7 linked regions of the Ovis aries genome follow. The protein of the gene in region 3 purifies or fractionates together with the protein of the main gene of each other region. This does not show direct contact. Links are inferred from orthologs where the notes say so. Each region holds a gene or a part of one and is shown on either strand. Other genes may lie near its edges.

Region 1 (3,273 bases), on a different chromosome or scaffold from region 3:
CTCCAGAAACGCCAAGAGGAATGATGTGAAGGCTTAGTTATCCCCGTAGAGTTACAAAGCACTTTTTTCCTACAGGAAGAGCACATATTAATTCCTAACTGCGTGTGTTTTAGGGAACAGTGTCTACCACAGTTATTTCTTCTTCCATCTGGCTTTGGGGATAATAGAGAAGTAGAGCTTACAATCTTAACCACAGTGCGTTAGTCGCTCAATCATGTCCAACTCTTTACAACCCCATGGAGGAGGCTCCTCTCTGTCCATGGGATTCTCCAAGCAAGAATACTGGAGTGGGTTGCTATTCCTTTCTCCATTTTAACCACAGGGCCCTGGGTAAAACAGCAGGGCGCCAGTAGCTCCTCAGCCCATACACAGAAGGGCAAGACCAAAAGCAGCTGCCAGGGAGAGGTCCGGGGGGCTGGTGGGACTGCATGTGTGTAGGCCCCACAGCAGCTGCTGCAAGCACCACAGGCTGACTCAGAGGCTTATGCTGTCTTCCATGAGACTCACAGTTACTCTCTCAGTTGCCCTTTTACAGGCATCCAGCACCAGACTCACCTTGTCTGGAGCATCCTCATGGACTGCGTGGCCACACTGGGGCAGGACCTGCATCTGGAACTTCCCTGGGGAAGACATAAACCAAAGCCACCTCAAGGACTAAAATGGCCCTCTCCTTACCATCTTTGCAGCCTCACAGGTCACGTTAGCAGGCCAGGACCTCCCCATCACCCCACCCCAACAGTCTGGACCCAATTAACAAGCCTGTGAGGAAGATGGTAATACCTGACATTGTAACCTTGAGCAAATCATTTCCCTTCACTTCTTCCTTCTTCACCTACTTAATATGCGTTTACTTTGGGCCAGACACATAGAAACAGTTCCTGTTTACACTATAGTCTAGTGGGAGAGCAAAATATAAAACTCAGATTTTAATGCAGCATGTAGTTCCTAGGCTAACACTAAGCACATAGAACTGGAAAAAAACAGGAATTGGGTCTTTGCAATAAAACAGGGATCCAGGAAGGCTTCCTACACAGAAAAAGTAACTTACACAAAGAAACGGAGGATGAAATGGTATTTGCTCCTAAGAAGAAAAACTTTGGCATGGTGCTCATCAGAGTTAACAATGAGGCTGGAGATGTAAGCAGGGGCCTTATCATTAAGGGATTTGTAAATTAAAGATTTTGAGATTTATTATTACAATAATAAGTTACTTAACTATGTTCCAGACAGTACTAAACACTTTTTCACACTGTCCTGTATAACACTGTAAGCTCAAACAAATGTGATCATTTTATTAAGAGTGGACAGAGATGACTGATAGAGAGAGATCTCTAAGGAGACCAAAGAATATGGAACCCATCCCCGGTCATCAAGGCCGTGAGACATCGCTTTGTAAGTTATCAGGGTGTAAATGGGAACCATGAGATTGCCCAGGGAGAGTAAGTAGAAAAGAAAGAAAGTCAAGAACAGAATCTGCTTAAGCCTGAAACCTTGGCTCTGGAGTTGGCACCTTTTTTCATATAACCCGAAGTTGCCAATGCCTAGTGACTTCACCTTCATTAAGCCTTTCATCTGCTCTAAAGCCAAGAGCTTCCATGAAATTGGTTCCACTGCCTCCATAGTCATCTGGCCAACACATCTGAACCTGAGCACATGTCACTTTCCTACTCATTACACCTCACAATCCCTGTCAGGCTGCCATCAATTTTCTCATTCTACAAATTGAGAAAATTAAAGCTGAGGCAGGTCAAGTAACCTGCCCAGGGTGAAAAAAAATTAGTAGGAAAGAAGTAGTACTCAAACACAGTTCTCCCAACCGCAGAGTCCTTGCTTTTACCACCTCATCATGTTGTCTTCTAAACAGAACTTGTATCTTTTTGTATTTGGGTTATCTTGGACCTTTCCTTTTCCTAAGAATTCTAACAATAATAAAAATACTGTCTAGTATTCAGAATATCTCCTTTCATAATATATCTGCACACAGTACTTTATAATGCCCCTTTCAAAGACACTGCATCACTTTAATTCTTACAACTCTGAGGTCTATGTGGTAATATAATTCCCATTTTTAGATAGAAAATTTCCACATGACTTTGCCCATTTCTCTGCCCTGAGGGGACCTAGGAATGTAATTTCTTCATAACTTACCTTGCATTTGGCCAATAGTCAGATCTTTATCCAATCTATCAACACCTAGAATAAAATAAGAGAATCCACAAGTAGCTTACTTGAAAAGGCTGTATGAAATAGGTTTTGCTGTTATGAAGTAAAAATTGTTACAAAGTGGTAAACAGGATGACATTCTCAATTCATGTTAATGCCAATCCTAACTTCCTGAGTATATAGTCTCATCACATGAAGCTTTCGAGGCTGATGTTCCCTAAAATCACTTTGCTTGTTTAAGCTGCTTTCTGAAAACAGGCTTTACTTTTTAAATTTCCTTTTTACTCAGAATATCCTTATACCACTCAAGGAAAAGGACTTGGGTTTGACCAGGTACAGAGTCCAGGCCAGAATTAGCTCATCCCTGGTGGATGCTCATGCTTAGTTAGTTATGGATTTGTCAAAGGAAGGAGAAAGGGCACAAATGAGTAAGCATGGTATTTCACTTTGGAAGTCGCTACCCATATGGTAAACGCTTTTAACAAAGACATAACTGAGATGACAGTATACATACACTGCCAGAGACTGAATTGTGTCCCCCCGCCCCAAAATGTATATGATGAAATCCTAATTCACAATGGGAACACATTTGGAGATATGAAGGTAATTAAGGTTAAATGAGGAAGTAATGAAGGTTAAATGTGGTCACAAAGGTAGGGCCCTCGTAAGATAAGCCTGGTGCTCTCGCGCGCTCTGCCACATAAGAACACAGTGAGAAGGTGGTTGTTTGCAAGCCAGTAAGAAAGCTCTCAGCAGAACTTGACAGGCTGGAGCCCTTATTTCAGACTTACAGCTTCCAGAACCGTTTAAGCCACCCAGTATCTTGTTATGGCATCCCAGGCTGACTAATACATAACACATGCACACTTACCAGCCAAGAGCAGCAATTTAGGAATAGGACAACTAAGAAAGAGATTGGATAAGCCTCGGAACCAGCCATCCCAGTATTTTTCTGTTTTTGCCAGTTCAATTCTCCAAGTGTATGGATGGTCTTTCTTGGTCTAGAGGAGTAAGAGCAAGTTTTGAGTCTCTGAGGGCAACCCCAGGAGGAACAGGATAAAAACTAGGGCTTTGGGAAAAGGAAAGGGAAAGGAATTAGCACATATTAAG
Region 2 (3,500 bases), on a different chromosome or scaffold from region 3:
TAGCTATAAACTGACACATTGTGAGCTTTCTCAAAAACTAGTCAAGTATTCATTTCTCTCAACAATCAACAAATGTTAAGTGCCTGATTAATGCCAGGCACTATGGGAGGCCCTGGAAATAAAACACTGAACACAGCCCTGCCCAAAAAGAGATCAGCTGTCTATCTCCTCATCTAGATTTTAACAGTTAATAATAAAGTGCAGCCACCATGATGAGGGCACATCACACCAAACTCAGAACTGACTAGGGTACCTGCTATAAGAGAAAGGAAAGGATGTGGCTATAAAACCCAGCACTGAAATTTTAATTAACTTGTTTTCAATAAAACTATTCATAAATCTCAAACAGTAACAGATAATGTGATAATACAAACTCTGGCCAAAATATCAGCATTACAAACTTCAATACTCCTTTTTCATATGGGGAGTCCTCAACTCCCTTTAACCAGAATGCAAGAAAAGTGGTAACCAGAGACATTTGCTCAGAGTACAGGCAGAGAGGGAAGCTTCCCTGAGCAAAAGTCAAATCTCAAAACCATACTCCCCTTTCTTCTCAGATAAATATTCCTTAAGCCACAGAGTCATTAAGTATCACAAAATCTATGTGACATATACCAAGAAATTATATATTCTTCTGTGGCTTTGCTTTCAGATGGTGGGGAGGTGAAATGTGTTTTTATAATACATTTTTGTTAGATGCAAATGCACTGATGAAAATGAAAACCACTCTACAGGCAACTGACAGAGACCATACTTTCTCATGCCTCTAAATGAACATAACCACATGAGCCATGTGGGCCTCCTGCTGGCCCTGGGGAGTCTGCTCCACTACGTGATGCTATCCTTCAGCTCACAAGAGCGCCCACACTCACCAGCTGGCCCGCCAACAGTGGCATATACTCGATGATGGCCAGCCGGACCCTCCATTTGGCATCTTCAGCCAGCTCCACTATGGCAGGGAGGAGTGACTGGGAGAGCTGCCGGATCCCAATCACTTCATTTACACAGTCCAAATTGGAGATGATGTTCAAACGAACTTCAGGACACTGCAAATACACAAGACCCAAAACAGCACATATAAAGATCAAGTTCTCTGATCAATATTCTCCTACCACCATGATGAGCAAATACATTTTAAAATGAGAAAGTGTTGACTTGCATGAAAAAACTATTGTCTTGGAAGAAATACTTAATACTGAGTACATAAATAATTCAAACTGCACAATTTAATTGACTTAAAACTCTCAATGAAAAGTCTATGAAATGTAAAGAGCACATAAGCTATGAAATCAAATTACATGTATTCAAATCCCATATCGACCCAGCTGAAACTTCAGGCGGCTTATTTTACGTCTGTGCCTCACCTTCTTCGTCTGTAAAATGGGAATAATAGTAAGACCAACCCTCAAAAATAAGATTGCTGTGAAAATTACACATAATAATAACACATGCAAAGCACTGATGATCATGCCTGGCAAACAAGATAATTTTTATAATATTATATCTAAATTTAAATGAAACTTTTCAAATAAAGATCCATTAAGTTTAAAGATAAGAAAAAAACAGTGAATATAATCAGGAATTAGGCAGAGAAGATGGACAGCCATTTTTACGTCTGTATCAGTGGCCCATTTTCTCAGGAACTTGTAACTCCGTGCCCAAATGCCATCAATGGTTTAAAATAAGTTACTTTTTCAGTGACACCCCAAACAAAAACCAAACCAAATCACCGACTATCAAAGGACAACAAAATTTACAGCCAGACTCACCTCATCCTTTAACTGAGCTAAAAAGAGAGGTAGAAGATGTTCAATGGTATTCTCTTTGCCCAAAATGGTAGACAACCCCATAATTACAGAAGCTAGAGCCGACTTGACATGTTGATTTGTATCAGACACTAATTCCTAGAATAAAGTCAAAATTAAAAGCCTTTAGTTTTTTTGCAAGACAACAGAAACTTCCAAATGACTTCTCAAGGAATTTTAAAAGATAGCGCTCTTTCAATACTGATTAGTCAATAGTTTCCTCAGACCATCTGTCAGATAAAATAAACCTATGCAAAAAAGAGCATTTTGCACTTACAAAATATTAATAAGTAATAAATAACAGTGTCACACATTAATATAACTGTCCCATTCATCCCTGGTCCACGTTTAAATTCAAAGAGCTTTAAAGTAATACAAACAAAAATTGAGGTCAGGTTTACCTTCACACAGGGCAAAGTGTAACAAAAAATAAACTAAAGTTAGGTTTACCTTTATATAAGGCAGAATTTGATTCATAATCATGGTCTCTCTACCTTCCATAGGCAAGTTCTCACAAAGTTCTAAAATATACAAAGAGAAAAAAAAAATGCTTATGTAGAGCCATTTACAAGGAGCCAAATGAAGAAATTTAACCAGATTTATCAAGTTTCAAGTTAAATCAAATCATATGTTTAAGCAAATAAGTTCCAAGGAAGAAAAATGGCTGCTTTTAAATGCACCTTTTGGTCAATCTATATGCCACTGTGTACCACACCAATCCAATCTGGATTGGATACTTTTTTTTTAAACAGAAGCTATTTGGTTTTAAATAAATAAGGGAGTAGCTTTATGTGACAATGTTAACATCTCAACACATTAAAATCATCACTATTTTTCTGAAAACATAATCTGTAAGACCAAAAAAAAAAAAAATACAAAATTCACTGACATAAAAAAATGCACCAAAGTGATCTAGTTACAACATAAACTGACACCTTAACCTTTTACTTTATGGGCAGCAGCTGCTCGGACTTCAGCTTCACAGTCTTTGAGTAGGTTCTGAAAGGCGGGGATGAGGTCATTTAGGGTGATTTTGGGACCCACAGCTTTCTGGAGCTATAAAAGAATTTGTACAGGTTTTAATGCACTCTAATCAAAATAACTTAACAAGCACAATGCAATCATCAAGTATAGACAGTCCCCAACTTATGATCGTTCAACTGAAGATTCTTCAACTTTAGGATGTTGTGAAAGCAATACACGTTGACTAGAAACCAAATTTCACGTTTTGAATTTTGATCCTTTGCTGGGCTAGTGCTATGTAGCACTACCCCCTGTGATGCTGGGCAGAGTGGGGAGGCCAGAGCTTCCCGTCAACCATGGAATCACAACGGGGAACAACCGATACACTTAAAACCACTCTGTTTTTCACTTTAAGTACCAGTATTGAATAAATTACGTGAGCTATTCCACATTTTATTATAAAACAGGTTTTCTGTTAGAGTATTCTGCCCAACTGTAGGCTAATGTAAGTGTCCTTTAAAAGTTTAAAGTAGGCGAGGCTAAGCTATGCCGTTCGCAGGTTAGGTCCATTAAATGCACTTCCAACTGAAGTGGGTTTCTCAGGACATAACCCTATCATGAGTCAAGGAAGGTCTATGTATATTTTTGCCTCAGGCACTTCCAATTCAGAAACTTTTGGTTATGACAGCAAATCTGTGGGTTTCTGAGGGTTTTCTTCCTTTTAGTACTTAA
Region 3 (3,642 bases):
GGTGCCCCAGCCCATCAGCTTACTGCTGCATTTAGGAGCCAGATCATAAACAACAAGGACTTGGCCTTTAGAAGTCAAGGGAATAAATAAGCTGGAAAAGGGTGAAGGGAAAAAGCCAAGGAACGTGTAAGTAGAGGATTATATGGAGCCATTTAAAATGACAAAAAGCAAGAGCAATAAAGCGACAGATGGAATGTGGCCCCACAGGGCCCTGCCAAGCTAACTCTGAGAAGCGATGTGTTCTCTTGATGTCCCCTGAAGCATTCATGGGGTTTCCTGGCCAAATTCTCAGGCTGTTTCTATGGCACTTACGAAAAAAGAATATAGCATTGTTGATGTGGTCCTTTCCCCTTCCCATTCTGCATCCTCTTCGCAGCCTCGTGAAATAAATCTCTGGCTCAAGCGAAATCATGAAAAAGAAAATGGGAAAAAAAAAAGTGCTGTAGGAGCAGGGGGGTGCTGACTGGTTCTGATTTGTCAAAAAACAAGGAGAATTTCTCTAAGAGTAAACAGTGTTTATTTTTCATTGAGTTTTTTTTCAATCAAATGGAATTGCTTAATTAAAAAAAACTTATCTCTTTTCTCTTTAAATACTACAGACAACCTCATTTTATCTCAGCAGACACCTAGAAACAAAACACTGGACCCACCAGAGCAAACGGGGCAATAAAAGCATCAGAAATTCAAGTCAACTATGGAAGAGTTACTGTTAGCTGGCAGCTCTCAATTCTAAACAGAAGTGTCCCAGAACCTACTGGGTTTGACAAAAGTTTCTTAGAACTGGGGATGTGGGAAGGTTGGACTCCATGGACTTCTATTCCAATTGTCTCCTGCAGAGGGAAATTAAAGTCGATGCATCAAATGAACACCCAAAGAAACATTTAAAAACGTGTTTGACTAGTATTCAGTATGTGAGATTATTAAGTAATAACTTGTCCTCCTAGTTAACCTTGTCCTGGAATATATATAGGTTATTTGTAGCCGCCACTGCTATAATATTTTCTGAAGGATGCCAAGCTGTATGCAAGATCTTTTTGCTAAAGTCCAGACTGTCGACACTGATCTCATCTTTTCTCCGCTTGCCCCCCACGCACACTTTGCGTGGTTTTAGGATAGCTCGGGGTTTGCTGTTTTCCCTCGAGGCCTCAAGGGTGACATCGCGTTTGGTGTTGCGGTCAAACATCCTGAAAAAGTTGTTGTAGGAGCCTGTCATGATGACGCTGCAAGGCAGAGAGGAAACAGGGAGTGACTGAGTGCCGTAGACGTAGACTTTCTACAGCTAAGAGACCGAACACCGCAGCAGGCTTTGTAGTGTGACCACTGACTTTAGAAGCACTAAGGAAAGCAAGCTCTTGGGCTGGGTGAAGGGTGATGATAGCCCTCCTTGCTATTTATCAATAGATTCCTTTAGATTATTTTGTTCCATAAGTCAGTCTAGTGGTTTTAAGGATCCCAGCCCACCTCCTTCACATCAGGATTCTGAGGCTGCAGTCAAGTCATGAGAATAGGAATGCTGAAAATAGCCGTCCTTGTATCGTGTTCGTTTAGAGCCTGGCGGTCGTAGGAGTGACGGTGCTGCTCGACTGATAAGGCTTTCTGGCATCAGCACTGAGGGATGCTGACATCGTGCCCTCTTCCCGCTATAAACTAGATCGAAATTCTGCCTTTTCTGAAAACTTATCTAAAAAATGGATCTCATCTTGGTCTTGGGAGGGAGTAAACAAAAATTAGAATTTTAAAAGGATGTAGGATGAGGAAATAAGCCTTTGTAGTGGACTTACAGATGGTTGCCTACTTTCCTACAAGAGCTATCCATTCTCAGGAGTATCTCTCATTGATAAAGAGAGCAGGGGGTGCCAAGAGCCTCTCAGAAGCCATGAACCAACTCTACTTAATGGTGACAGGCCAAGGGAAACATAATGTCCCTCAAGCAGCACCCTCTTATGGCTGACCCCCAGAGAGGTGGGCTTGGCCTTATTTGTGGGTAAGGCACCAACTGGCTGGTTAGGATGGGAGAACTTTGCATCTCGTTGTCTTGGGCTAGAGGAAGGTGAAGGAAAACTGACAGGACTGAGCCCTGGCCAGGGGGCTGAGTTTTTGGGTATTTGTTAGTTGTCCCGGAAATTAATCAAGGGCTAGATTTTGTTACCCTGGCCTGGGAAACCGATGCCATGAAATAGGGTGAGCAATTATCATCTCATCACGTGGGGGTGCTGGGTGCTTTACCCCTAGCCTCATTTCCTTTTCCATCATTCCATGTTAAGGGGTTTACACAGGAGGAAAAGTGAGTGCATGTATGGTGTCACACAGCCAGTAAGTAGCCAAGTTGGGCCTCCAGCCCACATCTGCCAGATGCTGGAGCACAAGCATTAAGCCATTTGGCCTTATTGCTTCCCACGCACTGACCTCTGCTTCCATTACCACCACCCGACTTGTTTTTAAACCGTAGGAGAAAGTCTTTTTTTGGGGAAAAAAAAAAAGTAATCTCAATCTTATCTGGACCAAAAATAACATTTTCTCGGTTATGGAAAGAATCTGTAATGTGGTGGAAAGAATGTTCATTTTAGGATTTAAATTCTTCCTCTTGTCTCTACTACTTACTGTGATCTGCCCAAACTCCTGAACTAGTATCCGGCTGAGTCTCAGTTTCCTCAGCTGTAAAATGGGGACAGTGAAAGTAATTTTGATGGATGGTGGTCAGGATTAAAAAATCATGATGTGTGAAAGTACCTAGTAGGTATAGGTTTTGAGTCTTGGTTCAGATAGAAGGGGAACTTGAACAAAAAGAACCACAAATATTAAAAAAATCTATTCATAATGAACAATGAATAAATTACCGATGGAAATTAAAATAACAGGGCAGGGATAGCTACTTTTCCTCTGAGGGTCTTTGTTCAACTAAGTAACAGTTGCTTTGCTCTGGGCCCTCTGGCCTCCACCAACTGGGTGGTGTGATCTGGGTTGTCTACCATGTGGTGACTCCTTCTAGGCCTGCTGAGTGGAAGGCTGGTTTTGGATCACTGGCCCAAAAAACCCAACAGGGGTCAGAGAGGTAGAGCCTGTGCTCACTAGAAGCTCACCCTTCTGAATGCTTTGCAGTGATAGAATTTCCCTGCTTTTCAGTAGGACTGCTGGTGCTGCCTTCACTAAGGAACAGCCCCCCTGGTAGCCTGGGCTGGCTTCTGGAAATCACAGCAGCATCTATTCGTCAAGCCAAAAAGAAACTGCAGGGAGGTAATAGGAAGTACTGTTGAAACCAAAGGCCTCAAATAGTCATAAATCCCTTTGAGGGCACAGAATAAATGAGGCTGATGAGAATTCAGTTCATGACCACCAGGCCTTAGGCCAGTCCCTGCTGGCAGTTCGAGGGATAATTTCCCATCCAGACAGTACACTTTACAGTCATTGGAATGGTTCATCCTCAAAATTTGCCAGGGGAGCTTCATTTTAGGTGCATGGACCCAGCTCTGGGAGGGTCTTGCCTGTATAAGGTAGGATTTTTGTGAGGTTAAAGGGTCACCTGATCCAGTTCTGAAAGAGGAGTCCAGGATCTTACCCATCACCTGTTCCTTTCCAGACTTGACCCCGAGGTCACCTGCTGGGCCACATGGTGCAGCCCTGCCAGGCCTCAGGGCCGATTCT
Region 4 (3,959 bases), about 45 Mb from region 3:
CCGGGAGGGAAGGCTGCGGAGGAGGCGAGGTTCCCTTGGGGTGAAGGGTGGGAGGTGGGGTTAGGAGGGAGGAGGCTGATGGACACAGGGAAGGGGGGTGCGGTGGGTGAACGAGCCTGGAGGGGAGCCAGGGGCGGGCGTTCTGGGGCAGGGCCGCCCCTCCACCTCGCCCTCCTCCTCCTCCCCTCCGACCTCGGGGTCAGGTCCCCCGGGTCTCAGGAAGCCCGCAGTGGCGGGGCCGGCCGTCTGGAGGCGGGGCGGGAGCTTTCCCGGCGCCTGCCCCCGCCTTCACTCCCCGCACCTGCGGCTCCTTTGTCCTCCCCACAGCCCCCGCCCCCACCCCCTGGGGCAACCCCGACTGTCACTCTCCTGAACTGGCGTTGGGGAAATTGTCAGGGTTTTCTCTCGGGGTGGCGAACCTGGGGATGGGGTGGGGCCAAAGTCAACGAGTGCTCCCGCGGGTATTTCTAAACCCACAGTCTCGAAGGGAAGTTGCTGGGGCCCATTCCGCGTATGAGGAAACTGAGGCTGGAAGCTCAGGTCCTTGCCTGAACCACACAGTTACGCTGCCCGAGACTGGAACTGGGCGTAAAGGGCGCTCCAAAGCTCACCAGTCCAGCCCCACCCCAATCCTGGGAACCCTGCCGATTCAGTTAATCAAGTGGGGGGAGGGTAGCTATCCTTCCATTCTCCAAAGGAGGCCTGATACCCAAGTCGGCTAGGGTCACTGTACCCAGCAGTATCCCCCAAACATCTGAACTCGGAAAGCCTTCTCACCCAGAGTTGTAGGGAGGGGGTGTGTGTCCAAGATCCCGCCAAACGTGCGACGTTTAAGAAAAGGTCGGAGCGCCAGGCGCCCAGCACGAAAGCGCTCTGGCAAAGAAAAGGGGTCGGCCCCTTCCCGCCCACTCTGCCCACGTGGTAGCGGTCAGACCGGTTTCTGGGGCCCCAGCAAGCCGCCGCCAGCTCTTGACCCTTTAACCCTGCCCCTCCCCCACCAGGGAAGAAAACCAGACAGGCTGCACAGACTTTGTATACAATTGGTCTTTATTTTCCTATCTGGCGATTCTAGCAAAAAGGCCAGATAGAGGGAGTTACCAGAATCCACCAGTAAAGGCAAACAGAAACCCAAAATGCCCTGGCGAGAGAGAATCTCCCGCCTCCCCCAAACTGGCCAGTCTCGCCCGCCACTGATCCCAGCTCAGCCCTACAGCGCTACCCCCATTTTTGTGATTCAGACCAGGAACGTCCGGGTTGATCGTTTCTGTGGGTCAAGCTTGAGACGGTGAACAATATTCCCACCTCTAACGCACCACATGAGAAAAAATTTTAAAATGAAATTAGATCAGCCCTCTACCTCCGGAGGCGTAGGGGCTTCGGGCAATAACCCGCAGAAAGGCGCAGTGACTCAGGCCGCCCTCCTCCCATTCCCCAGGGCGGTCCACACCCCAGGTCCTCCTCCCGGCCCCCACCCACGCACGGCAGCAGGAAGCTCCCCACGTCTGCCCCATGACGCAACGATGACCGCTTGCACAAGTATGTCACTGGAGGGGGAAGGGGAGTGCCTGGAATTCTCTGAAGTTAGAAACGCAAACACCGACGATTGAAAAACCTTATTGAAAGGGCAGCATAGCCCCCAGTTTAAAAAAAAAAGTCCGACCCTGAGGAGTTTCAAGAACCAAGCCTCCCTTCTCCCAGTTCCAGGAGTCGGTGAGGTTCACCTCCCAGTCCGTTAAAACAGCACCGATGGGAACAGCAGGTCTGGGGGGAAGGCGCCCGCGCCTCCGGCTCGGGCTCCTCGGCGTCGCCGCTCCACACAGGTAGCGACGGCTCCCCGGGGGCAGAGTCCCTCTCGGGGCCTCTGGGCAGCCCGGGCGACTGCTCCTCTCCACGGCTTTCGCGAGCGCTCCCCCGGGGGTGGGCCTCGCCTCGGGTCTGCGTACTCTGGCCGACGGTTCGGCGCTCTGGGCTCCGGTAGCGCCGCCCTGGAACCCTCAGAAGGCCACCACGGCCCGCACCAGGACGTTGAGCATGTTGTCGGCCGGGCGGCAAGCCGGCTTCGCCTCGCACGCCGGGGACGCCGTCGGAGGGCTGGCAACAGGACTGCAGTTCAGGAGGCCGGAGAAGCGCCTCTGCAGGACGCGCGCCAGGTTGGGGAAGGCGCCCTCCGCTTGCGCCGGAGCGGGCTGCAGGCGATCAAGGACCTCCGAAGACGCCCCTTCCTCCTCCTCCTCTTCTTCTAAGCGGGCTTTCTTGCTCGGGACCAGAGCGGCGTCCGCACCATCGCTAAGGCTGCTGCTCCGCCGCTTGCGGCTGATTTTGGCGGGGAGCTGGACACAGCGGGCAGGGCTCTCCTTGGCTCTCGGTGCCTCCTGGGTGTCCATGGGTTCCGGAGAGGGCTGCTCGCCGTTGCCGGTCGCTGCCTTGGCTGCGGCTTCCGCTTCCCGAGGAGGGTGCAGGCGAGGATCAGGGGAGCGGACAGCCGGCAAGGGCACCTCGGGTTCCTGGGCTTCCACCTTGGCCGAGAGGTAGAGCTCCCGGGCGCTGCGCATGACCAGCGACAGCTGCAGGCTCCGGTGCAGCCGCAAGCCACCGCGCTGCATGCGTGAATGGTACATCTTCCACACCGACAGGGTCATGATCCGTTGCGCCTCCTTCTGCACTTCCATAGCTGCTCGAGGGCGAGGGCGGCAGGGACTCCCGGCTGGGAACGGCAGGTGGCAGGTGCACTTCGGACAACGCGCTCGTTCACGCCACTCTCAGCAGGACAAGCCACGCGGAGACACTGCCAGGACGCTCTGCCCGGGCGCCCGCCACCCGGGCCCTTTTGTACCAGGAGTGAAGTCACCGAGACGCCCCGCCCAATCAGAGAGCCGCATCCGGGCTTTCCGCGACGCCTCGCCGAGAGACTCCTTAAAGCGACAGAGTGGGATTTACTGAGAGAAAAGGGACCCGAACTCCTGTGAGGAGAAGCGTCCCCCAGTCCAAGCTGAACTCTCGGGGTGGTCTGCTTTTTCCGGGCCCCTCACTGAACCCGCGCGCAGGCCGCGGGGGGCGGGGGGCGAGGGCCGTGGGTGGTGCTCAGGGCCCACCCACCGGTTGTGTCTGGAGACCCCAGCGGGTCCTAGGCTGCACCTTCGCACCTGAGAAAACTTGAGTTCCAAACGGTAGATCCCCGGTGGAAACTGTCTACCATCCACCAGGAGCCTAATTAACGTGTTTTTAAAAAATCAACAATGGTGCTAACAATTATTAAGCACTTGCTAAGTGCCAGGCGCTAAAGGCTTTCCTATCATAAACATCTCATTGATCTCTCTCTTCCACTCGTAGAGTAGTTGTATCTTACTTCTTTAGGCGAGTGACTCGTCCAATATTTGCTAAACGAATACTTGAGCCACTGCGGTGAAAGGGGACCAGTGGAGTCTCCAGCACTCTTGTCTTGCCAGCCTCCGCCCACCCTCCTCACTCCCCTTGTTTGGAGGCGGTAAGAAGGCGGGACACACCGCCTGGGTCTAGGGCAAAGTTGTCCACTTCACGGGAGGTGGATGTCTGCAGACAAGAGCGCAGCCTAAGCTACAGTCTCTGTGCTCCGCATCCAACATCCCTCTCAGTTTCCCTCCTCGCGAAATCCACCGTGGGCGTCCATGCCCTAAGGCGGAGGACCCGGCAGCAACACAGGACGAGTGAACACGTGGCTGTGGCCCCCTAAACGACGCAGCCGAGCTCCGCCTCTGCTCCCGGGGAGGCGGAGTTGGATTAGGACTTGGAAACAGAGATAGAGCAGATAGATAGAAAACATCAGCCCCACCTTCTGCTACGCACTAAGATTGCAAGAAATATTATTTCCAGTTCCTGAAAAACCGCGAAATTGTTCGAACAGCTCCCTTCATTCGTAGTGCGGGCTCTTTAAGGGCAAGCTCCCCCGCCCCCTCCACACCGGTGCGCGAACCTTCCCGCCA
Region 5 (3,833 bases), on a different chromosome or scaffold from region 3:
AAATTTTAAAGCACTGAAATTTCCATCCTGACATCCACTGGAATGCAGAGGCAGACCTGACCAGCTGGCCATGTCAGTCTTGGCAGTTTCCCCTCAGGTTTTATTAATAACAGGAAACTAAAAGTTTTAGTGAAAGACACTTTTGTGGATGGAAAGGGCCTCAGAAGTTGGCACTTAAACAGTTTATTTAATATTAGACATTATCAGATTGGGCTAAAAATCAAATTGCCTAAATTGACTTTAGACAAGGGAGTTTTAGTGGCAGGTTTCAATAAACTGGCAGACCACTGATACTAGTACCTAACAGCAGTCTTCTGATGTGAGGGAGAAAGCTTAAATGTGCCTCTCTCCATAATAAATGAAGCCCGCAAACAATGTCCCCAGTCTGCACAACTGATAGTAAGAACCACGTCTTCAATTTTCCAGGCGGACCATAGTTGCTCTCCTCCCACTTCCCTTGAAACCTGGACAGGCGATTTACACACAAGGAGGCAGTCAAGTTGCTTCAAAATATTTAATACGTGTTAGACACGTAAAGTTACATTTTTATACAAAAATCAATACAACGAAGGAGAAAATACTGTACAAAAACCTTGTCAGTTCCCCCAACCTTTATACAACAAAGACTGGAGTTACTATCTACAAAACCATAGGGCCTTTCCACTTAGGGCTTCTGTCTGTAAACTTTGTTTCCTTAAACACTTTTTAAAAGCACTGTGTAGTAGTTCTGATCTAGAGCTTTTAAAAAATAAATCTTTTCTCTATAAACTCCGTATTTCCAAGCTTGAACTCTTCTGTGAAGTTCATCAAGCTCTTTTTTCCCCTCCGTGACGAAGACAAGGGCCGCTAACACTCCCTTTCCCCGAGTAATCACAGGGTATAAACGTTTCTTCAGTGACAGAGAAAAGTGGGGAAGGAGAGAAATAATACAAGTCTCTACTCCAGACTAAATCCCTCTAGTCCGAGGAAATCCTGGGAGGAAACGCCGCTCCTGGCCTCGGTGCGGTTCTAGCTTTCATGTAAGAGGTGTGTGTAAAGTCCCTTCCTCCCCCGAGAGCGAACGGGGAACTCCCCGGCCCCGGCCTTTTTCGCTGCTTCCTTCTCGGCGCTGCCGGCAGAGGAAAGTCCCTGTCTGCCCCAATCGTCTAAACCGCGGGGAAGGGACGCTCTCCAGAGGGACAAAATAGCCTTAATTCAATGAGACAAACTGACATACACAGATACAGACACAAAAGTCCACGATCGCCGTCCTCTTCCAATAAGTCTCCCACTCCGAAGTCTCCAGAGGAGAACCGAGAGGCTCGGCCCAGCCGGCCGCCAAGCCCAAGGGCAGTCTGTGCCGCCCGGCGGCACCCCCTCGCGCCCGGCGCCGACTGCCTCGGGGGCGTCCTCGCCGCCGGGAGAGGCCCAGCCCTCACGTCGAGACGCCCGCTGCTCAACTTCCTCTCCGCACTGGGACCGCGGGGGCTCAGAAGGCCACGATAGCAGTGCTCCAAGGGTTAATGTCTCTCAGCACCGGCTTATCGCAGCAGATCTGCCCGGGCTCGGCGGCTTCCGGACCGCTCTCCTCTCCCTCCGCTTCCTCCCGGCCGCCCCCGGGGCTTTTCCGTAAGAGTCCCGAGAAGCTGGAACCGAAGATGCTAATGAGGTTAGCCACGTTACCGGTCTCCATCTCCTCCTCCTGCTCCTCCTCCGCGGCCGCCGCCGCCCCGCCCGGCTGCTCCTCTGAGTTCCGGCGGGGTTTCTTGAGCGGGGTCGAGCCGGGCGCAGGGCAGTCCGCGGGGCCGCCGCCCACCCACCCCGCGCCGCGCTTTCTGGCGCAGACGGGGGGCGACGCGGGGGGCTCAGCCGCAGCGGGGCGAGGCGCGCGGCAGCCGTCCACGCGAGGGGCCGCGCTCAGATTGTCCTCATCCCCCGGGGGGCAGCCGCAGGGGCCGCGCGCTGCCTCGGGCCCTTCGGGGAAGACCCCCGAGACTTCGGCGGGACCCCCGGCTCCTCCGACCGCCGTCTCTCGCGGTCCCTCCACGCGGCGCCAGGCAGCTTCCGGCGCCTCCGCCTCTCCGCCCTGAAGAGTGTCCCCGGCGGCCGTCACCGTGGCCGCGGGCTCCGAGTCACCCGCCCTTGGCACTTCTGGGACGGCAGGGCGCTCTGGCTGAGGCTCGGGCTCCGGCCAGGCGGCACGGCCGGCCGGCGGAGGTGGCTCCCCCCAGCCTGCGGGTGGCCCGGCCGCCGACTCCTCGGGCTGCTGCGGCGGCGCTGGGGCCCCCGGGTGGCCGGCCAGGTAGAGGCCGGGGCACGGGTCGCTCAGGTAGACCTGGCGGGCGCTGCGGAGCACCAGCGAGACCAGGAGGTTCTTGTGCAGCTTGATGCCGCCGCGCTGGACCCGCGAGTTGTAGATCTTGCCCAGGGAGATGCTGACGATGCGGTGAGCCTCCAGTTTGAACTCCATCCTACCTCCTCCTTCCCAGGGCTGGCGCGGAGGTGAGGGGGTGAGCCCCAGCCCACGTTCCGAAGCTGAGACGGGAACAAGAAGTGCCAACAAGTTCGCCACGGGGGGTGGACCCTCGGTCTGTGAAGACTCCCGAAGAGAAACGGCTCTGACGACGCGCTCACCAGCCTCCACGCCCTCCCCACTACAGCAACACAGCCAGTTTCGCGTCCGGTCGCTAACTGAAGGCAAGCTGGCCGCCCGGCGCCTTATAAAGCCCTCTCGACAGCCAATCGCGAGAGGCCGCCAACCGTTCCGGGGCCATCGGCGCGCCCTCGTGCGCCTCGAGCGACCAATCAGAGACCGAGGAGGGGCGCCAGGGCTATTCGAACGTTAGTCCCGCGGAGAAGGTTCTTAAAGGGGGAGATGCGCGCGACCGCCTGCAGGCTGTTAGCCCGAGACAGTGCTGCGAGCCCCGGTAATACGGAGAACGGGACAGCTACAGTGTTGTTTGTCCTTAAAGGTGCCTGGCCTGTGCGCTGCTTCCCGGAACCAGAGCGAACTAAACCATTCGAACTTTCATCCGAGTATGGTGGTGGACTTCGTTCGGCAATAAAGCCTCGATCCTTCCTGGATCAGCTCTCCTCCCATTCCCACCCCGCACCACCGTTTCCAAGGCGACATACACCTGTAAGCTCCGCGCAACCTAACGGAAATGGAGACGAAGGCAAAATGCGGCACAGGATTCGCCTAGATAACATACTTGTGCTACAAGATATTTGGCAGATATTAATTTTGGATAAGTCCCTTGCCTCCTAAAGTCACATACACTCTAGTACCTGTCAATTTTAACACCGAAGAAAGAAAACGGGGGTTCTGAAAGTTCCAAAGTTTTTGTCTACTCAGGAAGGTTTTGTGTCTACCTACAAAGTTTTTGTGTCTACCTACAAAGAAGGCAATGGCACCCCACTCCAGCACTCTCTCCTGGAAAATCCCATGGACGGAGGAGCCTGGTGGGCCGCAGTCCATGGGGTCGCTAAGAGTCGGACACGACTGAGCGACTTCACTTTCACTTTCATGCATTGGAGAAGGAAATGTCAACCCACTCCAGTGTTCTTGCCTGGAGAATCCCAGGGACGGGGGAGCCTCATGGGCTGCCGTCTATGGGGTCGCACACGACTGAAGCGACTTAGCAGCAGCAGCAGCAGCACAAAGTTTTTGGTTCTCTATTTAAGCTAGTATTTATCACTTTGTTCTCTAGTTTCTAGAACCAATACAGTTGTAACATCAGCTACAGTGAAAGGTGGTTCACATTCTTGACAACGATTTTTCTTCAACACGAGGACTGACCAATCCACCCTTGGGGAAAAAAAAAACTAACATGTCATAAAAGTACAAATAGAGA
Region 6 (4,217 bases), on a different chromosome or scaffold from region 3:
AGCCAGGGTCTGAACGCAGGCTGGCCATTATAAACAAATGCTGCACTCAGCAGGAAAAAGGAGGGCAGAGGTAGGGAAGTAAAATGGAGCTGTAAGGTTAGATGACAGAAAATCAACACCACAAAGGTTTGCCACAGCTGCTGGCAAGGGGCTCCACACTAAGCACCGCTGAGAAGGGTAGGGGCTGCGGGGGGCACGCCACTCTGCTCCAGCCCTCCACATCCCTGGCAAAAGCAGAGGATAAAGATAAATGACAAAGCACTGCCACTTAAAAATTCGTGTTTGGTGGAAAAGTACAAATATTCAGAGAAAAAAGTAGGTAAGATATAAGCTTAAATATACCTCAAAGAAACTAGGGACTGGCAGTTCAACTTATTTAGGAGCTGAAGTCAAAATAATCTCTCTGGACAAATTCAGAAAGCTTGCTCAGGTGACGAAGGATCAAGTGTGATCGAGGAGGGGTGCAACATTCTTCTCCCGAAAGACGTCTTAAAATTATCAGACAGTCAGAGGGAAAAACTGATTCAACTACCAACTTTGCCCACCACTTAAAGTCTATGTCTACTAGTCACAGAGAGGTTAACTGACTCAGCTAATTTCACAACTGGGTATTTCACCCGACAGTCAAGCCTGAGAGAGACAGCGATTTAAAACATCAATCTTAAAACGTGAAATTACAGGTTATCACACAAGAAAATTGAATGTAGCCAGAACCTGAAGCAGTCCATAAGCAATTTGTCTCAGAAACACAAATATACCACTTTTTGGTAGTTCTATTTACAGAAATACATCCTCCTGTATCAATACACAGCTATTTAGTAGACTCACAGACATAGAAAACAAACTAAGGGTTACCAAAAGGGGATGGGGAGGGGATAAATTAGCAGTTTGCGATTAACATATACACACTACTTTATGTAAAAGAAACAAGAACCTTCTGTATAGCACAGAGAACTATACCCAATGTCACGTAATAACCTATAATGAAAAAGAACCTGAAAAAGAATATTGTGTATTTATAGCTGAACAAGTTTGTTGAACACTTAAATGCAACATTATACTTTTAAAAAAAAATTGTTAGTACATAAAAACCCAAAACAACGTTACACTTAATTTAAAAAATAAAACACTATTTTAAACTTAGCATTAACTCTTCCATTCCTAAGACATTTAATTTTAAGGGTACTCTATAAATAATATTAATAAAATCTTTCCTTCAATGCCTTTCTGAAGCATCCTGCTTTCCAAACAAAATCAAGAAAGTCTTAGGGAGTATGGCTTAAAAATAAATAACAATTCAAAAGCATTAAAGAATAAATAATTTTGTTACTCCTCCACGAGACCTTTTTACATAAAAATAGTCTAGGCTATAAAAGATGAATGAGAAAAAATGTAAAGTCCAAAATAATTCCAGTGATTAAGAAAAAAATGGATACAGAATTCAGAAGATTGTCTACGATCACACAATCAAGAGCGACTGAAAACAGTAAACCACCTGCATATTTTATTACTTTTTGGAAATGAAAAAAAAACCTTACATGTAACAGCAACAGAAATAACCTTCTGAAAAGTGCTACCCTTCAGGAGAAACACATACCCCACTTATCATTTCAGGTAAGCACTGTTGCCAAACTTAAGACTTGCCGTCTTGTTTCTGAAAAATCAAACATTTTTGCTTCCAAAGAGCCTCTCAACGTGAAGACCAGCCACCATCTGTCTCAACTAGAGTCAACTTCTATTTTAAAAAATCACAGTCTGCCATCACACCCACCTCTCTACAAACAAATGCCTGACGCGTTACCAAGTATTAGCGATGTTTGAAGGGCCGAGTCACCTGAGAAAAAGCCTCTGTTTATTATTACCACGCGCGTTGATAATTCACAACACCCAGGCTCATTTCGGTGCACTTTCCATTACGAGGCTGCAGGAGATTAATCTGCTTGGCGGCTGAAGCTTCGGGATTGCCAGTCCGCCCGGGTTAATGCTGGGGTTGTCAGCAACCCTCACTAGAGCGCCGGTCACCCCACAATCACACTTGGGTGATGAATTCCAGGTGTCACGGAGCCCCCGCCCACCCATCCCAGACGCCTTAGGTCTGGATCCGGGGCGGTGCGGGGGGGGGGGGGGGGTCCGGGCCTAACCAAGGGCTGTGTCCCGAGAGGGGTCCTGGAAAGGCCCGGCCCCGCCCAGGGGCTGAAGCCGAGCATGAGACGCAGCTCCGTCTGGACCCGGTGCCGGGATGAAGGCGGGCGGGCGGCCCGGGAGGGGAAAGACGAGGGGTCCCCGCACCGCCCACCCCGCACCCAGCCGAAGCTCCCCGGCCGCACCTCGCCCCTCTTCTCGCTCACCTTTTCACACAGCGTCCGGACTTGGTTCTCGTTAAGCTGTTTACACTCATTCAGCTGCTCGACCCACTGGTCCAGGTCCTTAGTGAACGCCTTGTCGTCCATGGCGGCCCCCGCCCCTCCGCCGCCGCCTCCTCCCGCCCCCCGCGCGCCCCCGCCCCGGGCGCCGCTCCCCTAGCCCCCCGCCGCCGCCGCCGCCGCCGCCCAGCTCCCGGCGGGGGAGGGAGGAGCCGGGCACTGCGGACCCCGCGCCCCGCCCAAGCCCCTCGGGCGGCTCCGAGCGCGCGGCCTCCGGGAGACCCCCGCCCGCCCCGGCCCGCCGGCCCGCGCGCCCCGAGAGTCGGTGAAGGCCGCGGGGACGTGCGGGGCTTCCGCGCAGCTGCCGCCGGAGGATGGGCACCCGCCGCCTGCCGCCCGCCAGCCGCTCTCGCCTCCCTGGCTCCTTCTCTCTCGCTCTTTCTCTCCCCTCCCTCCGGCTTTCCGTCATCGCCCGGGCATTTCCGCCGGGAAAAAAGGCGAGCGGGCGGCGCCGCCGGGCCCGGGACTCGAGAAGGCCTGCAGCGCCCCGTGTGGCGCGGCGGAGAAACAGGCCGACGGGCGCGCCGCTGTCTCGCTTTTCCCTTTTGTATCGTACTTCTCCACTCGGGTCCAGACCAGTCTCTCCTCGCTTTTCCCTTTACGTCCTTTTCTCTGAGAATTTTTTTTTCTTCTTCTTTTTTAGCGCTATGGAGAGAGAACTGGGAAGCTTGTGCTTCTCCTTGACCACATAGTCTCCCCAGAGTCTAGCACTGTCCCATAGCCGGCGTTCATTACCTATTAAACAGATACATACGTAAATTCTTCCATATCTTAGCTTTGTCATTAAGCAAGCTGTAGGGCACCGACATCTCGAATCCTCCCTTTAGGCATCAGAAACACGAATCGATTACTCTGTGATTATCAATCAGTTGTCCCTTCCAGCTCCAGCATTCTTCACCACATTTATGCAGTGTTTACTGAGCTCTATTGATTTGTTCACTCAGCAAATGTTCATCGAGCAACTGCTAACTGCCAGATACCCTGGAGAGCAGGTGGTCACCAACCATACTTCCTCTACTAGACAAGTGGCGGCAGGCAGCATCCTTTATCAGAAGGCAAGAGCCCCCTCTTGGCATCGCCAACCTCCTCGCTGTGTCCTTGGACAATGACCAGATTGCCCCCAGCCTCTGAGTCCTCATTTGTTGCAAAGGTGCGGTAAGGCCTGCCTTTTCAAGTTGTGAAGATTAAATTCTACAAGAGCTTATCCGATAGTACAGAATGGAACTCATGTTCCTTGCCTTACTATCCCTACTAGGCAACAGCTACCGAAAGGTTTTCTCCCCGGGGCAAAACGTTGAAGTTGCCTGGAGAAGGGAAAAGAAATTACACCGATTTGTTTTTTGGACGGTGGCAGAGGACAAATGTGTGAAAGACTGAGGTCTTTTCGGGAAGCTATAAATACTCCTAGCGTCGGAAGTCAGTCATATGGTGGGAAATATGGCTGGAAAGCTCCTGTTCTCAAGTGCCTTGTAAATAGCAGCAAAGCAGTTGAGGACAGAACGTGAAAAGATGGCGAAACAGTACTGAACAAACAGGATACCTGCCGTGATTCAGGAGATTTGCGGTCTCCGAGGAGGTTCGTCTATAAAGGTTGAAAGGTTGAGTTTCAGCTAAACCTGTCAAGCTCAGAATGAAATGAGAGTAAGAATAGTGTTTTTGGAGTTCCTGGAGAAGATGGATTGAGAATCAAAATATACCTTGAGGAGAGATGGGAAGGACAGATTGTGTTTAGGGAGGGAGGTCCTTCCTAAGCAAATGTGTTTGAGATTAATGTGAGAGAATGCTCTTAAAGCT
Region 7 (4,290 bases), on a different chromosome or scaffold from region 3:
AAAATGGAAAACAGCAGTTGCACATTAACTTCACGAAGAATGCAGATGACACTGCCTTTGGTAAACAGTCTTTGAATATTGCCAAATGGATGGAGCTACACCCAGAGCACTACCAAGGGGAAAACGGACCCAATTCACATATAAAGCAAAATTAGTAAAGAACCAGCGAAACATTAAGGCCCCAAACTTGAAACCTTAAAAATGCTTTTCTCCCATATAGCTGGTAGTGCCCAAAACATGCACCATAAGCATAAAACCGAACAACACAAACCAGGAAAATTTTCAGTATACGTAAGCGCCCACTGGACATGACTTAGAAACTGAACAAAAGTGCCCATCAGACTGTTTCATGATAAAACTACCATCAAGGCTACTTGCTCCTATGAAAAAAATATCCTAGCTATACTTACTTATTCCTTCAAACAACCTGCCTCCCACAGTCGCATCTACATACTCAACGAGATCTTTATCTTTGTTCACACAGTATCAGCTCCTTTCTCCCAGTCTTCTCTCCAGCCAATCTTTACCTCTTTGCTTCTTCCAAATGACAAAGGTATTCGTAGGCCACATTCTGACGTCTCCTCTCATCCATCTCCTCTGCAGTAAGTCTCTCATTATCCAGGACAGCTAAAACATGAAAGAAAGAATGTAAGCGCAAGAATCTGTAACCCTTCCTGAGCTATCAAAGAATGCCACAGCATCAAATTCCTGCTGGTCACCTGGAGAGTTAGGGTAACGTGTGGATAGCCAGGTGGACTATAATGACTTTCCTTAGATAGGAACCATTTTTCAACTGTTATATACTCATCTTAGTATCTATTTAAAAGTACAATATTATTTTACTTTTAAATACAATAACATATTGTACAGTTGTTACAGTTGTTCAGTTGCTAAGTTGTCCCTCTTGTCCCTCTTTCAACCTCAGGGACTGTAGCCCACCAGCCTCCTCTGTCCATGGGATTCTCTAGGCAATAATACTGAAATGGGTTGCCATTTCCTTCTCCAGGGGCTCTTCCTGACCCAGAGGATCGAACCCATGTCTCCTACATTGGCAGGTGGACTCTACCTGGTGAGCAACCTGGGAAGCCCCCAATATTATGAACATGTACTATATGTACTATATGACTTGAGATTTTGGTCCAAATTTGCGCTAATCTATCTGCCAGACTCTCAATCCAGAGCACTTTGTGCTTTTTCACTTTTTTATTAATCACTAAAGCCAGCAGTCACTGAGACCTAAGTGGCAGTGATTGTACTGTGCTTTTTACATGCATTCTCCCATGGAAGCCCCACAACAATCCTGTGATTATCAAATGTTTTACAAATGAGGAAACTGAGGCTCCATGATCTTTGCCCCAAGGCTAATAAATGATGGAGCCTATATTCAAACCCAGGTGGTCTGTCTCAAAAGCCCCTAAGATTAACTTCAAAGCAACCTGCTTTCTTTTTGGGCATCCAGGAAACAGAAAAAATGCCTAAGTGCTAAATGCCTAATTGGGGTTGGCATTCAATGCCTTTCCCAATTTAGCGGCAACTACTTTTGCTAACTCTTCCCCCCACACTACTGTGTACTCCACACAACTCAGGAGCCAACACACACAGCGCTCTTCTCTTCCATAACTTAGTTCACTCTCTTCCGCTTCACCCTCATGCCTTGCCCCACCCTGCCCTGTCAAACTGCACAGCATCCTGCAAGGCTCTGTTCAAATGTTCCAACTGTGTTCCTACTGCCTTCCCTAAACCCCTCTTCTTCATCCACATTACCTTTTAAGCCTGGTTGGTTCACAGGACACCTTTATCTCTATCCCTCCTTATTATCATTAGATAGTTACACCTGTCTGCCTCCCTAATTAAAACGTTCTTTGAAAGCAGGGTCTGGTCTTACTCAGCTTTAATGTCACAAATTTGACGTAATACCTGGCACAGAACTGTCGAGTGAAATTAGCCTAAAACACTATTCTCAGAATATCAAATAAAATCGGGAACCTCAAGACTCCAAAAGGCCCTCCTTTGGCCAGCGGTAACTATTCCACCTGCAGTTCAGTGATGTCCCAGGACAGGGACAGAAAATGAGATTCGGAAAATGAGGAAGTCAGAGGTATGTTTCTTTTTTTCTTTTTTGTGTCTTCACTTTTGAAATCCTGTCGAGGGAACTAAGCCCGAGAAAGCTGAAGTGACTTGCCCAGGGCCGCACCTCTCAGCTAGCCTGGGGCCGGGCAGGTCTGGACCCTGGATGTACCCGCAGGCAGCGCTCGGGCAGCGCCTTCCCGCGAAGCCCGAGCAGAGCCCGCGTCTCGGGGCTCCGGTTCCCGGGACACGCCCTGCACCGTCCTCCTGCCACCTCACCCTAGGCCGTCTCCCCAATCTCGGTCGAGCTGGGCGGCGGGAGGCGCTGGGTGGGGCCCTCCGGCCGCAGCGCCCGGGACCAGGCGTGGGGGCGGCCGGGGTCCTCCCCGCCGCCTCGGACACCGAGGGGGCGCGGGCTGGGAGCCTCGCCACCCGCCACCCCGTCGCATCGGCTCTTCCGGGTCCGCACGGCCCACAGCCGCCCTGTCCCACCCGCCAGGCCAGCCCCCCGGGAAAACGGCGCCGGGGGGACGGCGAGCCCGCCCCGGGACCCCTGCGCCGCGGAGCCCACACTCACAGCCATAGTGCGGCCGAGCCACGCCCAGTCCGTCAACCTCGTCCGTGGAGGACATGGCGGCCGAGCCCGGGTCTCTGCTCAGGAAGCGGAGAGACCTTAGAGGCGCGGGCGGCGGCGGCGGCAGCTACTGCACAGTGCGCGGGCTGCCCAGGTCCCCGAGGCTCCGCCCCGCGCCGCCGGCCCCACCCGCGGGCCCCGCCCCAGCGTCCCCGCCCTGCCGCGCCGACGGGAGAGGGCGGAAGGAGGCAGGGCCTGTGCCTCCCGGCTCCGCCCCCGGCCCCCTCCCTGCACCCAAAAAGCCCTCTGGAGGCGGAAGGAAGAAGGAGGAGCCTGCCCGCCGACCCTTCTCGCTGGCAGCTCTTCTGGACGGAGAAGACCAGCCCCGGCCCTGGATCTTTGCCCTCCCCGGCCGCCGCCCGATCCGCGCCACTTATCAAAATGCCGCCAGTGTCTGTAGCCTGACATAAAAAACGTGGGCATCTTCCGTTCCCCTTCCCGCCTAATCAAACTCTTCTGCACCAAAGGGCTCAAGGAAGGCCTCCTTTGAAGTGGCCCAGTGTGTTCCTGTGGACACATGCAGGACCCAGACTGCCCTAAGGGGCCGCACAGGCTGGCAGTCGAGACAAGTCTCCCAGCTTCGCCAGCTGTCGCCGGAGTTGAACTGCTTAACCCCTCTAGTATCTGAGAAGTGGATGCTAAAGCAGGAGAGTTGTGTTTGTCCAGATCTCCTTCCCGCTAGATTCATTGCCACTGTTTTTTGCAAGTTCTTCTTTTTAGGGGACTCTTTACCTTTTTAGGAGTGCCTCCTCTCCTTGCAACTTGTGGCCTGCCCTTAAAATATTGGTATGCAACGGAATTCTGGCCTCAGCACTCTTCCGTTTTTTCCCTTGCCCACTTTTTTCTGAATAACTTTATGCACGTTCACCTTAAATTGCTGAAGAGTCGTAAATTTGTATCTCAGATCAGACTTCCTAGAAGCCCCAGTTCAGTATTTTCGGCTGTGTAATGTGGCTCAGACGGTAAAGCGTCTGTCTGCAGTGCAGGAGATCCAGGTTCGATCCCTGGGTTGGGAAGATCCCCTGGAGAAGGAAATGGCAACCTACTCCAGTATTCTTGCCTGGAAAATCCCATGGACCACGGAGCCTGGTAGGTTACCGTCCATGGGGTCACAAAGAGGCGGACACGACTGAGTGACTTCACTTCAATGGACATTTTAACCTATGAATCCCGCAGAAACTTTAACCGGCCGAACCCTGACCCTGCTCCTGTTATAATCCCTATTGTGTATGCCCAGTCGCTCAGTCTTGTCCGACTCTTTGTGACCCTATGGACTGTAGCCTACCAGGTTCCTCTGTCCATGGAATTCTCCAGGCAAAAATACTGGAGTGAGTTTCCATTTCCTCCTCCAGGGGATCTTCCCCACCCAGGACCCTAGCGGGCATCTCCTACATTGGCAGAATTAGGCACTGTTAATTGACAAAAAGTCTAATATAGGATAACTATAAGATTAAGATTATCTGGATTTATGAAATATAATTTAAAAATCCAGCCCCAAGGACTCAACCTCTCTTTTTTGAAGACTTATTGAAAATATTAACTATTTGGGTGCCTGATTTAAAAGATAAATCTAGTATAAAGGCTAGTCC

Evidence for each region.
Region 1: the proteins of PPP2R2B (region 3) and PPME1 purify together in Homo sapiens (affinity purification with mass spectrometry; 3 studies listed by BioGRID and IntAct, with this or other methods). This does not show direct contact. The link is inferred for Ovis aries from reciprocal best matches to the Homo sapiens genes PPP2R2B and PPME1.
Region 2: the proteins of PPP2R2B (region 3) and PPP2R1B purify together in Homo sapiens (affinity purification with mass spectrometry; 4 studies listed by BioGRID and IntAct, with this or other methods). This does not show direct contact. The link is inferred for Ovis aries from reciprocal best matches to the Homo sapiens genes PPP2R2B and PPP2R1B.
Region 4: the proteins of PPP2R2B (region 3) and IER2 purify together in Homo sapiens (affinity purification with mass spectrometry; 3 studies listed by BioGRID and IntAct, with this or other methods). This does not show direct contact. The link is inferred for Ovis aries from reciprocal best matches to the Homo sapiens genes PPP2R2B and IER2.
Region 5: the proteins of PPP2R2B (region 3) and IER5 purify together in Homo sapiens (affinity purification with mass spectrometry; 4 studies listed by BioGRID and IntAct, with this or other methods). This does not show direct contact. The link is inferred for Ovis aries from reciprocal best matches to the Homo sapiens genes PPP2R2B and IER5.
Region 6: the proteins of PPP2R2B (region 3) and PPP2CB purify together in Homo sapiens (affinity purification with mass spectrometry; 5 studies listed by BioGRID and IntAct, with this or other methods). This does not show direct contact. The link is inferred for Ovis aries from reciprocal best matches to the Homo sapiens genes PPP2R2B and PPP2CB.
Region 7: the proteins of PPP2R2B (region 3) and IQGAP1 purify together in Homo sapiens (co-immunoprecipitation; 3 studies listed by BioGRID and IntAct, with this or other methods). This does not show direct contact. The link is inferred for Ovis aries from reciprocal best matches to the Homo sapiens genes PPP2R2B and IQGAP1.

Annotation. Positions count from the first base shown.
Region 1 is NC_056068.1:52,332,965-52,336,237, reverse strand, and holds part of PPME1 (protein phosphatase methylesterase 1), read right to left. Parts: intron 3,165-3,273; coding exon 3,035-3,164; intron 2,194-3,034; coding exon 2,149-2,193; intron 1,951-2,148; exon of another isoform or gene 621-1,950; coding exon 556-620; exon of another isoform or gene 536-555; intron 1-535. UniProt on the Homo sapiens protein: Demethylates proteins that have been reversibly carboxymethylated. Demethylates PPP2CB (in vitro) and PPP2CA. Binding to PPP2CA displaces the manganese ion and inactivates the enzyme.
Region 2 is NC_056068.1:21,765,864-21,769,363, forward strand, and holds part of PPP2R1B (serine/threonine-protein phosphatase 2A 65 kDa regulatory subunit A beta isoform), read right to left. Parts: intron 2,862-3,500; coding exon 2,747-2,861; intron 2,327-2,746; coding exon 2,256-2,326; intron 1,905-2,255; coding exon 1,770-1,904; intron 1,047-1,769; coding exon 873-1,046; intron 1-872. UniProt on the Homo sapiens protein: The PR65 subunit of protein phosphatase 2A serves as a scaffolding molecule to coordinate the assembly of the catalytic subunit and a variable regulatory B subunit.
Region 3 is NC_056058.1:55,515,630-55,519,271, forward strand, and holds the end of PPP2R2B (serine/threonine-protein phosphatase 2A 55 kDa regulatory subunit B beta isoform), read right to left. Parts: intron 1,221-3,642; coding exon 941-1,220; 3' UTR 501-940; downstream 1-500. UniProt on the Homo sapiens protein: The B regulatory subunit might modulate substrate selectivity and catalytic activity, and might also direct the localization of the catalytic enzyme to a particular subcellular compartment.
Region 4 is NC_056058.1:10,736,966-10,740,924, forward strand, and holds the start of IER2 (immediate early response gene 2 protein), read right to left. Parts: upstream 2,801-3,959; 5' UTR 2,670-2,800; coding exon 1,995-2,669; 3' UTR 778-1,994; intron 1-777. UniProt on the Homo sapiens protein: DNA-binding protein that seems to act as a transcription factor. Involved in the regulation of neuronal differentiation, acts upon JNK-signaling pathway activation and plays a role in neurite outgrowth in hippocampal cells.
Region 5 is NC_056065.1:61,598,587-61,602,419, reverse strand, and holds IER5 (immediate early response gene 5 protein), read right to left. Parts: upstream 2,673-3,833; 5' UTR 2,450-2,672; coding exon 1,469-2,449; 3' UTR 501-1,468; downstream 1-500. UniProt on the Homo sapiens protein: Plays a role as a transcription factor. Mediates positive transcriptional regulation of several chaperone genes during the heat shock response in a HSF1-dependent manner. Mediates negative transcriptional regulation of CDC25B expression.
Region 6 is NC_056079.1:26,064,113-26,068,329, forward strand, and holds the start of PPP2CB (serine/threonine-protein phosphatase 2A catalytic subunit beta isoform), read right to left. Parts: upstream 2,801-4,217; 5' UTR 2,451-2,800; coding exon 2,349-2,450; intron 1-2,348.
Region 7 is NC_056071.1:21,521,549-21,525,838, forward strand, and holds the start of IQGAP1 (ras GTPase-activating-like protein IQGAP1), read right to left. Parts: upstream 2,801-4,290; 5' UTR 2,700-2,800; coding exon 2,645-2,699; intron 628-2,644; coding exon 528-627; intron 1-527. UniProt on the Homo sapiens protein: Plays a crucial role in regulating the dynamics and assembly of the actin cytoskeleton.